Linked DNA regions of Sus scrofa. The protein of the gene in region 2 purifies or fractionates together with the protein of the main gene of each other region. This does not show direct contact. Links are inferred from orthologs where the notes say so. Each region holds a gene or a part of one and is shown on either strand. Other genes may lie near its edges.

What was found. Proteins that work in one complex are often made in the same cells at the same time.
Region 1: the proteins of KLC1 (region 2) and KIF5B purify together in Homo sapiens (co-immunoprecipitation; 11 studies listed by BioGRID and IntAct, counting the BioPlex papers as one, with this or other methods). This does not show direct contact. The link is inferred for Sus scrofa from reciprocal best matches to the Homo sapiens genes KLC1 and KIF5B.
Region 3: the proteins of KLC1 (region 2) and KIF5A purify together in Homo sapiens (co-immunoprecipitation; 7 studies listed by BioGRID and IntAct, counting the BioPlex papers as one, with this or other methods). This does not show direct contact. The link is inferred for Sus scrofa from reciprocal best matches to the Homo sapiens genes KLC1 and KIF5A.

Annotation. Positions count from the first base shown.
Region 1 is NC_010452.4:42,641,430-42,645,079, forward strand, and holds part of KIF5B (kinesin-1 heavy chain), read right to left. Parts: coding exon 3,583-3,650; intron 3,084-3,582; coding exon 2,953-3,083; 3' UTR 2,934-2,952; intron 1-2,933. UniProt on the Homo sapiens protein: Microtubule-dependent motor required for normal distribution of mitochondria and lysosomes. Can induce formation of neurite-like membrane protrusions in non-neuronal cells in a ZFYVE27-dependent manner.
Region 2 is NW_018084979.1:2,191,263-2,194,912, reverse strand, and holds part of KLC1 (kinesin light chain 1), read right to left. Parts: intron 1,601-3,650; coding exon 1,427-1,600; intron 1,286-1,426; coding exon 1,186-1,285; intron 1-1,185. UniProt on the Homo sapiens protein: Kinesin is a microtubule-associated force-producing protein that may play a role in organelle transport. The light chain may function in coupling of cargo to the heavy chain or in the modulation of its ATPase activity.
Region 3 is NC_010447.5:22,833,833-22,837,482, reverse strand, and holds part of KIF5A (kinesin heavy chain), read right to left. Parts: intron 3,593-3,650; coding exon 3,505-3,592; intron 3,095-3,504; coding exon 2,970-3,094; intron 2,483-2,969; coding exon 2,378-2,482; intron 2,199-2,377; coding exon 2,050-2,198; intron 1,729-2,049; coding exon 1,580-1,728; intron 1,326-1,579; coding exon 1,150-1,325; intron 1-1,149. UniProt on the Homo sapiens protein: Microtubule-dependent motor required for slow axonal transport of neurofilament proteins (NFH, NFM and NFL). Can induce formation of neurite-like membrane protrusions in non-neuronal cells in a ZFYVE27-dependent manner.

The sequences.
Region 1 (3,650 bases), on a different chromosome or scaffold from region 2:
TCAAACCTGTGCCACAGAAGTGACAACACTGGGCCCTTAACCCGCTAGGCCACCAGAAACTCCCTGATTATACTCTTTCAGTCACTTCAAGTCTCGACAACCTGGTCTAGCTAGGTTAACTATCTCCCTCATGTGCTAAACTGCTGTCATTACATTCTACTTTCCAGCTAAAACCTAGCTGTATTTAACAAAGGTGATGGACCATTCTCTCTCAAATGAGGTAAGAGGTTAAAGTTCACATGTGAACTGTAACGCGAGGACAAGATCCAAAAAAGATAAACTTTTACCTGTATTTATATTTATGCTTTGAAAATGCCTTTGCCCACCTCCACTTCCAGAAAAGGCAGCTTGCATCTACTTGGCACCCACTCTTTACTAGTTAATGACATCTTAACTGTATAACTCTCAAGAATGACTTTGATTTTAGTAATAAGGGGAGCTCAACAAGTTACCAATCCAAAGAGGGAAAAAACAGAAGCACTCTCCTAATTGGCAGGAAAGTTACTGTAACATCTTCTGATGAGAGACAATAATAAAGCACCTATTACCTACAATACAGTCTTATAACAATGTTTACGAGAACCCAAAAAATGATTTTTTTTTTTTTTTGGTCTTTTTAGGGTCACACCCATGGCAGAGGGAGGTTCCCAGGCTAGGGGTCCAAAGAGAGCCGTAGCTGCCAGCCTATGTCACAGCTACAGCAACGTCAGACCTGAGCGGCACCTGCAACCTACACCAAAGCTCATAGCATTGCCGGATCTTCAAGACACTGAGGGAGGTCAGGGATTGAACCCACACTCTCATGGATGCTAGTCCCAGATTTGTTCCTGCTGAGCCATGATGGGAACTCTACCAGCTTTAAAAAACTTAATCTGTAATTTGATTTTATGCTTAAGAATTTTATTTTATTTTTTTGGTCACGGCCCTGGCATGTGAAAGTTCCTGGGCCAGGACAAAACCCACACCACAGCAGTAACCCAAGTCATAGTAGTGATAATGACGACCCTTAACTGCTGGGCGGCCAGGGAACTCCCTATGCTTAAGGGTCAAAATAAGAAAGAAATTAACTGAAAAAGTAACCTGCTCAAGTTCATAAGAGTAAATTCAAACAGACGGGACTCCAATATCAATACTTTTTTCACTATATCATTCTCTTTTAAATCCAGAATATCGCTTAATTTTCTACTCAAATTGACAGCCAATGTTATGCAAAATGTCAAAGTAAAAAACAAAGAAGATTAAAATAAAATGACTTTAGTATCTGTCAAAAATAAAAACAATTAACTATCTCAAAGTTATCTAATATTTTTAGTTTCCAAACCATCTACACACCTGAGGCTTCCCAAAGGATTAAATCTGAGTTCCTACCATACAGTAAAATAGCAGGCAGCTATAATCAGTCACATGGCCAAGTTAAAAAAGTAGGCTACGAAGTAGTATTTTATAGAATATTTATAGAATAGCATAGTATCTTGGTAATATAATATTAACTGACAGTTTAAGCTTTCTAATTTAAAAGTTATAATATGTGAAGACAGCCCCAGGAAAATATATACAACATACTGGGTGGTATCTCTGGATAATATTTATCTCCTACTTTACTTTGCGGTAATTCTTTATCCCCCTACATGGTAAAAATATTACTTGCATTTAGAAAGAAACAAGTAAGAACTCATAAATTATAAAAACCACTCACAGAGGTAAATGGGAAAGGACACAGAAATAATTCATTAAAAATATAAGTATATAAATGGGCCAATAAACATGAAAATATCCAAATTCGTTAATAAATTAATGAGATAGTTGGCCTATTAAAATAGGAACTTAAAAACTATTAATACTTAATACTGGCAAAGATACAACAAAAAGGACAGTGTCACTGGCTAAGATGCAATTTGGTGCAGTCTTCTGAAGAGGGTTAGTGTCAAGAGCCTTAACAATGTTCACTTTCGGGAGTTCCCATCATGGCTCAATGGTAACGAACCCAATCAATATCCATGGAGATGCAGGTTTGATCCCTGGCCTCACTCAGTGGGTTAAGGATCCAGCACTGCTGTGAGCTGTGGCGTTGGTTGCAGACTTGGCTTGGATTCCACATTGCTGTGGCTGTGGTGTAGGTCAGCAGCTACAGCTCCAATTTGACCCCTAGCCTGGGAACTTTCATATGCTATCGATTTGGCCCTCAAAAGACCAAAAAAAAAAAAAAAAAAAGTTTCACTTTCTCCTAATCCCACTTATGGGAATTATCTGGAGATAATCGCAAAGTTGAGGATGTATAAAAAGATGTTTCACTGTGACTTTGCAATGACTATATGGAAAACATGAAACTTTTTTCTGGCTACACCTGCAGCATGAGAAAGTTCCTGAACCAGGGACTGAACCTGCAACACAGCAATGACAACGCTGAATCCTTAACCCACTGCACCACAAGGGAACTCCCATATATGGAAATTTCAATTTTGGACTATTTCAAGTATGGGAAAATTAACATAATTAAAAGTCTAGTAAAAGGCAATAGTTCAAAACAAAGAACCACAAAGGAACAAGGGAGTTACCTGATGGCTCAGAGGGTTAAGGATCTAGCACTATCAGCATTGCAGTGTGGGTCAATCCCTGGCCTGGGAACTTCTGCATGCTGTAGGCACAGCCAAAAATGAAACAAAATAAAACAAGGCAGTAGTTATAAATCATAGTATATCCATTAGACAATACCAAGAACTTAAACAAATGATCTAACAATAGGCTAAAAACAGTAAGAACACAAATTTGAATATACATATAGTATGACATGAACCAGGACAAAACTAAAGTTACTTATAATCCCACACATTAAAAAGAAACCATGATACTAAAGTGAGAATCCGAAAGGGTGTTTAACTGCCAATGAACCTCTCCATGGACAGGTGTGATTAAAAAATCCAGAGACCACCAACCTGTGGTGCCCTGTGAAGATTACACCTGCTTGCCTCCCCCGCCTCGTACTGCCACTGGCTGGCTGTTCTGAACAAATGCACCTCCTCCACGAATTGCACTTGGATGAGTCGGAGAAGCTGCGGGATGTTGCCCAGGACGAATAGGTTTAGCTGGTGTGAAAAACAAAAACTGACTTTAGAATAAATAACATGCGACTGCAATGACTCTGTAGGTCTCTTCTCTTTCTTCGCAAACAACTGCCCCCCCTTTCTCTTTGCCTTTCTATTTCTCAGTTATATCCTTTCCTCTAGGACCTATCCAATCCTTAGTTTCTGAAAATCCTTATTCCTTTATCAATGATTAACAATTAAAGTATGAAATACTATGGATGACATTTTCTTCCAAGTCTCTCTTTGCTTGAGTAACTTTGCTCTACATGGTTTCTTCTATCTGTGACCAGTCTCACTTGGCTGTGCTGTTCTGATCTCTCTTCTTGTCCTTTTGAGGTGACTTCCTCAGTTTGCTCTTCATTCCCAACAATGTTACTTTTTGGCAAATTAAAAAACACAAATACCACTGTGGCAGCACATAACAAATAAATCAGAGTACATTCTCAAGCAAAGAGAAACATTCAAACCAAAGCAAGGTTATTTATTGTGCTTTACTAACCAATTTGTGCAGAATGTCCTCTTCTGGCCATATTCTTTGATCTGACTGCTTCCTTTATACGATCTACT
Region 2 (3,650 bases):
GAGAAATGCCCAATGTGACACACAAAGACCACTCTACTGACCAATCTTTATTTATTTATTTTGCTTTTTAGGGGCTGCACCTACGGCACATGGAGATTCCCACGCTAGGGGTTGAATCTGAGCTGCAGCCGCCGGCCTACACCACAGCCACAGCCACACGGGATCTAATCTTTTTTTATTTTTTTTTAATTTTCCCACTGTACAGCAAGGGGGTCAGGTTATCCTTACATGTATACATTGCAATTACAGTTTTTTCCCCCACCCTTTCTTCTGTTGCAACATGAGTATCTAGACATAGTTCTCAATGCTATTCAGCAGGATCTCCTTGTAAATCTATTCTAGGACGGGATCTAATCTGTGTCTGCGACCTACGCCACAGCTCACGGCAACGCCGGATCCTTAACCCACTGAGCAAGGCCAGGGATTGAACCCGCATCCTCGTGGTTCCTAGTCGGATTCGTTAACCACTGAGCCACGAAGGGAACTCCCAAAATCTTAGAAAAGATTTCTTCCAAAACGTGTATTATGTACCTACAATTCTTTAAGGAAGGCAAAGGAGACCAGCCTTAAAGAGCTTGAGGTCCAACAACCCAGCAGCCCCGGGTGGGTGGAGAATCCACATTCCGACAGGTCCCAAGTAGTGCTGACGCTGCTGGTTCATGCCAGTCTTTCGGGAACAATTCTAGAAAGCACTAAGGCCTCCAGGAAGGCTCTCCAGAGTTAGTGCATCTAAACTATGCTTAAAGCCGCTCAGACACGTGGACTCTGGAGAAGGCAGTGGGGAAAGAACGCAGCAGGGGGCCCATCGGGCCTGGCCGCAGGGGCACAGCCTGCTGAGGATCAGCACTGCCCGGGCAGGTGCGCGGGCGTTTGCCATGGCCACTCAGGCTGGGCCATGTCCTCTCCTCTAAGCGCTACTTAGAAAATCAGCTCTAAAATTCAAATGAGGAGTGCCCTTGTGCTGCTGCAGGTTAAGGATCCAGTGGTGCTGCTGCTGTGGCGCAGGTTCAATCCCAGGCCCCGCAGGCGCAGACAAAAAAAGAACATTAAATAAAATGAACATAAATGCAAATTGAATTCTATTTTGAAAATATGGTGATGACTTGAGTATTCCCGAGCTGGAAACCACTCTTTCTAATGCATTCTACACCCGCATCTGCTTCGAGGAAGGAGTGTATGTCTTACCATCCACGGAACCAAACTCTCTTTCATGTGCCCGAGTGAGAATCTCTTTGTACAGTGTTTCTGCTTGCTTGAATTTTCCTTGCTTCAGGTAGCAGGACGCCTTGAAACAAAACAAAACGCTTACCATTCTCTTGTGTGAGTGACGCGAACGCCTACATTCTTGCCCGCAGGTGAGAGGGGAGGCAGAGCCCCAGGAGGAAAGCCCGCGGCTCTATGGCCAGAGCTGCCTCGGGCAACCTACCAGGTTGTTTTTCGTCTTGGCCACATTGGGGTCATCAGGCCCCAGCTTGGTCTGGTAGATCTCGAGGGCTCTTTGATAGTAATACTCCACTTCTTCATACTTGCCCTGGTTCTGGCACAGTAGGGCCAGGTTATTCAGCTGCTTGGCCACATCAGGGTGATCCTTTCCCAAAACCTGGGGACCAAAGTTAGCTTATTAGAAACACTTACGACGTGTCTCACGCCAACCAATCCATCACCCACCCTGTTCTAGGAGAAGGATCTTTCGATCATGAACATGACTATGCCTCATTCCCAGACTTACCACGATTAACTGGCCCCCATGCAAAAACACGAATAACCAGAGGAGCTCCCCAGTGGCCCAGCAGGTTAAGGATCCCGCATCATCACTGCAGCAGCCTGGGTGGCTGCCGAAGTGTGGGTTCAATCCCCGGCCCGGGAATTTCCACATGCCGCAGGTACAAATGAACAAAAAAATTTTTAAACCAGAATGTATTAAACTCTCATGGCTGGGGGGCTGGGGGGGACGGTGCTGACTTCCTTCCCAGGCTTCAGCTCAGTCAACGCCTGTAGGACCCCGACGTGGTAGGTGACACACGCACATTCTGAAGATGAGCAAGCTGGGTTCTCCAAAGGCTGTTTGACGACTGCCACGTTCTGGAGGAGCCCAGGTGTAAACCCAGCCCTGACTCCAACCACGTCACGCTGACAGCGACACATCGAGAGCCTTCAGCAGAGCCTTCCCACTCTTCAACCCACATCCCAGCCCCTCCACATGCAGACCGGGGGCCTTGCCATCACCCTGAACCGCACCCTCCTGTTTCGAGGTCCACCTTCCGGGCCCTGTGACCTCGCTGTCCCAGACGCCGATGCTCTCCCTCTCCCCGCAGGGCCCTCTGCCCACCCCCGCCCCCACTAACGGCACATCCCTGACCTCAGGGACCCCTCCCCCCGGTCAAGGCACACAGCACATCACGAGTCGTTTCTTCCTCTGAAAGCATCACTACCTACCCCAAACCATCTCATCCATTTAGTTCTCTGCTGCCTGCCTCTCGCCCGTGAAAACGTGACGCCGCAGAGTGCAGCTGGATGCGATGTAAGCCTAGCACCCGGTTGGCGCTGGCACACAGCGGAGTGAATAAATACTGGACAAACGCCCTCACCTTGTGCCTGTACGCATGCAGTCCCCAGGGAGGCTGCTGCAGCTGCCCCCTTCTGCATGCCTGCCTCTCCCTGCCTGGGAAGCGTGGACCTTAGGTATTCAGACTCGGCTCAAACCCTGACCGTCTGGGGGAAGCCCAGGCTCTATACTCCTCCTGGCTCTAGGCTAGACGTCAAAGCACCTGCATCCCCAAGGTCCGTCTGGTGGGCATCGTTCCCCGGCAGGGCGCCGTATCTAACGTGTGAATCACTGACGCTATCAAGTCCTCAGTAGCTGTCTGCTCAACGAGTGAGTGAAGGAGCCTACACGAACGCATGCGACAGATCATCATTCGCAGCTCATAATCCTCAACCTGATACGCCTGAGGTTCTCCCGGGTTTTAACCCCAGTCCACTGAAAAGCTGAGTGGATAAATGAGAAATAAAACAAAAGCCATCTGACGTCATAAAGACCATGCACATGGCAACGTGGACAAAACGTGACCTGCATAATTTGAAAAATGAGCCGCTTTTCATTCCCCTTGCCCAACTCCTCGCCATATGACCCCAAAGTACATGTTAATCTCTCAGTATCAATGGCAAATATTCACACAATCAAACCAAATTAAAATATCACAGCAACGACATGACACTCAAGTCTCTATGACATTTGAGCACAGTCACAGAATAACGACGAATTTGACAAGTTACATCTTTAAATACCTCATTACCATAAACTGTAGCAGCTGGCATTAAATAACCATGACACTGACTTAATCTATAGCTGTGAGTTGTTTTTTTGTTTTGCTTTTTACTTTTTAGGGCCGCACCTGTAGCACACAGAAGTTCTACAGCAACCCCGGATCCCTAACCCACTGAGCAAGGCCGGGGATAGAACCCGCATCCTCATGGATACCAACTGGATTCGTTACCACTGAGCCTCGATGGGAACGCCTCTGGGTTATTCTTTAGTTCTCAAAAATAATTATTTTTTTAAGATTTATAAGCATATTTGGTGACCTTATTTTTAAAACTGTAAAGTTTTTTTTTTTTTAAGAGCCACACCTGCGGCACATGGAGGTTCC
Region 3 (3,650 bases), on a different chromosome or scaffold from region 2:
TCCTTTCCTCCTGGAAGTTGACACAACCTTGACAGTACACAGCAGAAGCCTTCAAATGTTCATATCTTTTAACTAAGAAATACCACTCCAGGAGTTCTTGTCATGGCGCAGCAGAAATGAATCTGACCAGGAACCATGAGGTTGCAGGTTCGATCCCTGGCCTCGCTCAGTGCGTTAAGAATCTGGTGATGTTGTGAGCTGTGGCGTAGGCCGGCAGCTGTAGCTCCAATTCAACCCCTAGCCTGGGAAACTCCATATGCCATGGGTGCCACCCTAAAAAGAAAATAAATAAATAAATAAATAAATAAATAAATAAATAAATAAATACCACTCTAGCACTTTGTTCTAATCAAACCATTCAAAAGCAAAACCTTATGCACAAGAAACAAAGACAGTCATTTTAGGGCTATTTATAGTAGCAAAAACAAATGAATCAACAAAACCAAAAAAAAAAAAAAAAAAAAAACCTAGAAGGCCTATAATAAATAAATGATTAAATACATTTTGATAAATGGACTATTAGGCAGACATTTTGAAATTCTTTTGTGAAGATTTGTTAACAGAGTAAGAAATTGCTCATTATGGAGTTCCCTTGTGGGGAGTCCCCATCGTGGCTCAGCGGCAATGAACCCACCGCTGTGGCTGTGGTGTAGGCCAGCAGCTGCAGCTCCAATTTGACCCCTAGCCTGGGAACATTCCTATACCGCCCGTGCAGCCCTAAAGAGCAGAAGAAAAAAAAAAAAGAAGGAGAAGTAGCAGAGTTCCTTTGTGGCACAATGTGCTAAGGATCCAGCATGGTCACTGCTGTGGTGCGTGTTCAATCCCTGGCCCAGGAACTTCCACATGCCACAGGTGCAGCCAAGAAAAAGCAGAAGAAATCATTCATTATATCATGCAGAATGAAAAAAAAAAAAATCATCAGATGCAAAGTTACACATATAGTAAAAATCTCAATTGTGCAGCTTTATTTCTGAATGGTGGAAGGATGGATGATTTAAATATTCTTCTACATATTTTTATTTATCTTCCACATTTTCAATAATGAAAGTCATCCCTTCTAAAATCAGAAAAAGGCAGTATCAGCCAATTCTCTAATCCCTCACTTGCCAATTCTCTAATCCCCTCTGTGCCCTGCCCGACGGCCCTCACCTTGTCATCCAGCTGCTTGTAGAGGCGGCGGATCTCTTCCTCGTACTTCTGCCGCTCCTCAGGGGCGATGCGCACCACGATGGATGAGTTGTCGTTCACGGGGGTCTCCTCACAGAGCTCAGCGCCCAGCGCGGCATCCTCCCCAGCCAAGCGCTCCGTCTCAGGCACGTTCTCTCCTGGCAAAGGGGCAGAGCAAGGTGAGGGCTGGGACAGAGGAAAGCTGCATCTGCCGGTCCTTCCTCCCTTACTGCTCAACCCCAGACCTCCAGGCTGCCACCTCTCCTGCCAAGTGGACCATCAACCTTTTGGGGGATGAGGGATAAAGGCAGTGAGCCTCCTCCCCCTTTCTCTCATGACCTTCCTACTGCAGCCCTCCTTGGAGATTGCAGGAACCCTGTGTGGCTCCCTGTGCCCACGGGACCTCTCTAACCATTGCGCCACCGGCTCAGCTCAGCCTCCAGCTTTGCAATCGTCTCTTTCTGAGCCTTTGTCTTCTCCTTCTCCTTCTCATATTTCTTCTTCCACTGCTCGGCGGTCAACTCCAGGTTCACTGAAGCAGTGTTCTTAATGGTCTTTGCCCTGGAGAGGAGAACAAAAAGATGAGACCTTCATTAAGGCTGGCAAGACCCGGAGTTCCCATCGTGGCTCAGTGGTTAATGGATCTGACTAGCATCCATGAGGATGCAGATTCGATCCCTGTCCTTGCTCGGTGGGTTAAGGATCCAGCATTGTGGTGAGCTGCGGCACAGGCCAGCAGCTACAGCTTCAATTCAGCCCCTAGCCTGGGAACCCCCATTTGCCTCGGGTGCAGCCCTAAAAAGCAAAAAAAAAAAGGCTGCTGAGATCCCGAAGAGGGAACAGCAGGGGCCAGAGCAGAGAGTAGGGAACCCTGCCACTGACCGCTGCCCGAACATCAGGGTGGACTTGGTCTCCGCATCGTTGTAGCTGGACGGTGAGCAGCAGATGAACATAGTTGTACGGCAGTTTCCTCCCAAGGAGTCCTGGAGAATTCGTGTCATTTTGCTGTCGCGATATGGAACGTAGCTTTTCTGGGGAGAAGAGGAAGCCATGAATCAGAAAAATAAATTCAACAAGGTCATCAGAAAGGATGGTAGTGCTAACTAGGGATGGAGCAATCCAAGCATCGGGCATGATGAAGTGGGGACCCAAGGAGAAGGCAGAGGATGGGGTGGAGCTTGAGGGGTGAGGCCCCCAAAGGAGCACTCACAGTGCCCTCCGCCAGTGCCGAGATCACATTCCCCAGGGCTGACAGCGATTTGTTGATATTCTTGGCCTCGTCCAGCACGGCTCCCTCAGCTCCAGTCTTGCTGACCTACCAGGGCACAGAAGGGGTGAGTGTGCCATGAGCATCAGCAGAGGGAGGGGGTTCTCAGCACCTCTTCTTGGCGGGGGGCTCAGTCCAAAGAGAGGAGGGGATATGGAAACGATCCTGCCAGGGGCCACTCCCTCACCCACATATTATATGATTTGATTCCATTTACATGAAATGTCCAGAAAAGACAAATCCAGAATCAGAAAGTAGATTCATGGCGGCCAGGGGATTGGAGGGGGAAAAATAGGGCATCCCCTATTGTTAACAGGGGATGAAAACATTCCTGAATTAGTGATGGTGGTTGCACAACCATGCAAACATACCAAAACCACTGAATTGTACATGGAATTGTACATATAATGTAAAAATGGTGAACTTTATGGCATGTGAATTCTATGTCAATAAGAAAGTGATTTTGATCCAAAAAAAAAGGCCAACCCCCAAGGCTTCCTTCCCTGCCCCACCCCACCGCCACAGGACCCTCAACCTTCTCGCTCCCTGCCAGGTCCACGAGATACAGCTTCCCGCTGAGCTTCTGCTCAGTCTCCATATTCTCCTGCTTGATGTTGATGAGGAAGATGCTATGGCTTCGAGAGCTGTGTTCATTCATGTCTGTAGGAGGGAGGGCGGAATAGTCCCTGTATCAACCTTTGCGGAACTGAAGCCCTCAGCCCCCCCTGCCCTGCTTCCACTGACCACCGCCCCCACCCACTGAGAGAGAGGGTATCCGCCAGGACTAGCTCAGACCCTACGTCTCTCAGGCAGCAGATAAGCATCCCTCCTCCTCTGGAGGACAGTCTACCTTTGCTCTTTTTTTTTGGCCACGCCTGCAGCATATGAAAGTTCCCAGGCTGGGGATCGAACTTGCACCTCTGCAGTGACCGGAGCCGCTGCTGTCGGATTCTTCACCCACTGCACCACAACAGGAACTCCCCCTTTCTTGTTTTTGAGGCCCTCATCCCCAGAAGGCACAGAGGAGAGGCAGGCCCCCAAATTCAAGAGCCCCTTATATCCCCACTCACTAGTGACAGCCACATGACGATTTGATTTCCCTTCATCAATCACATCTAAAATCTCCTCTGGGCTGGACACAAAGCGTTCGGTACAACCCTGCAGGGGGCAAATGGACAGTGACCCATGAACTTTGATCTGCAAATTAAACTACCTG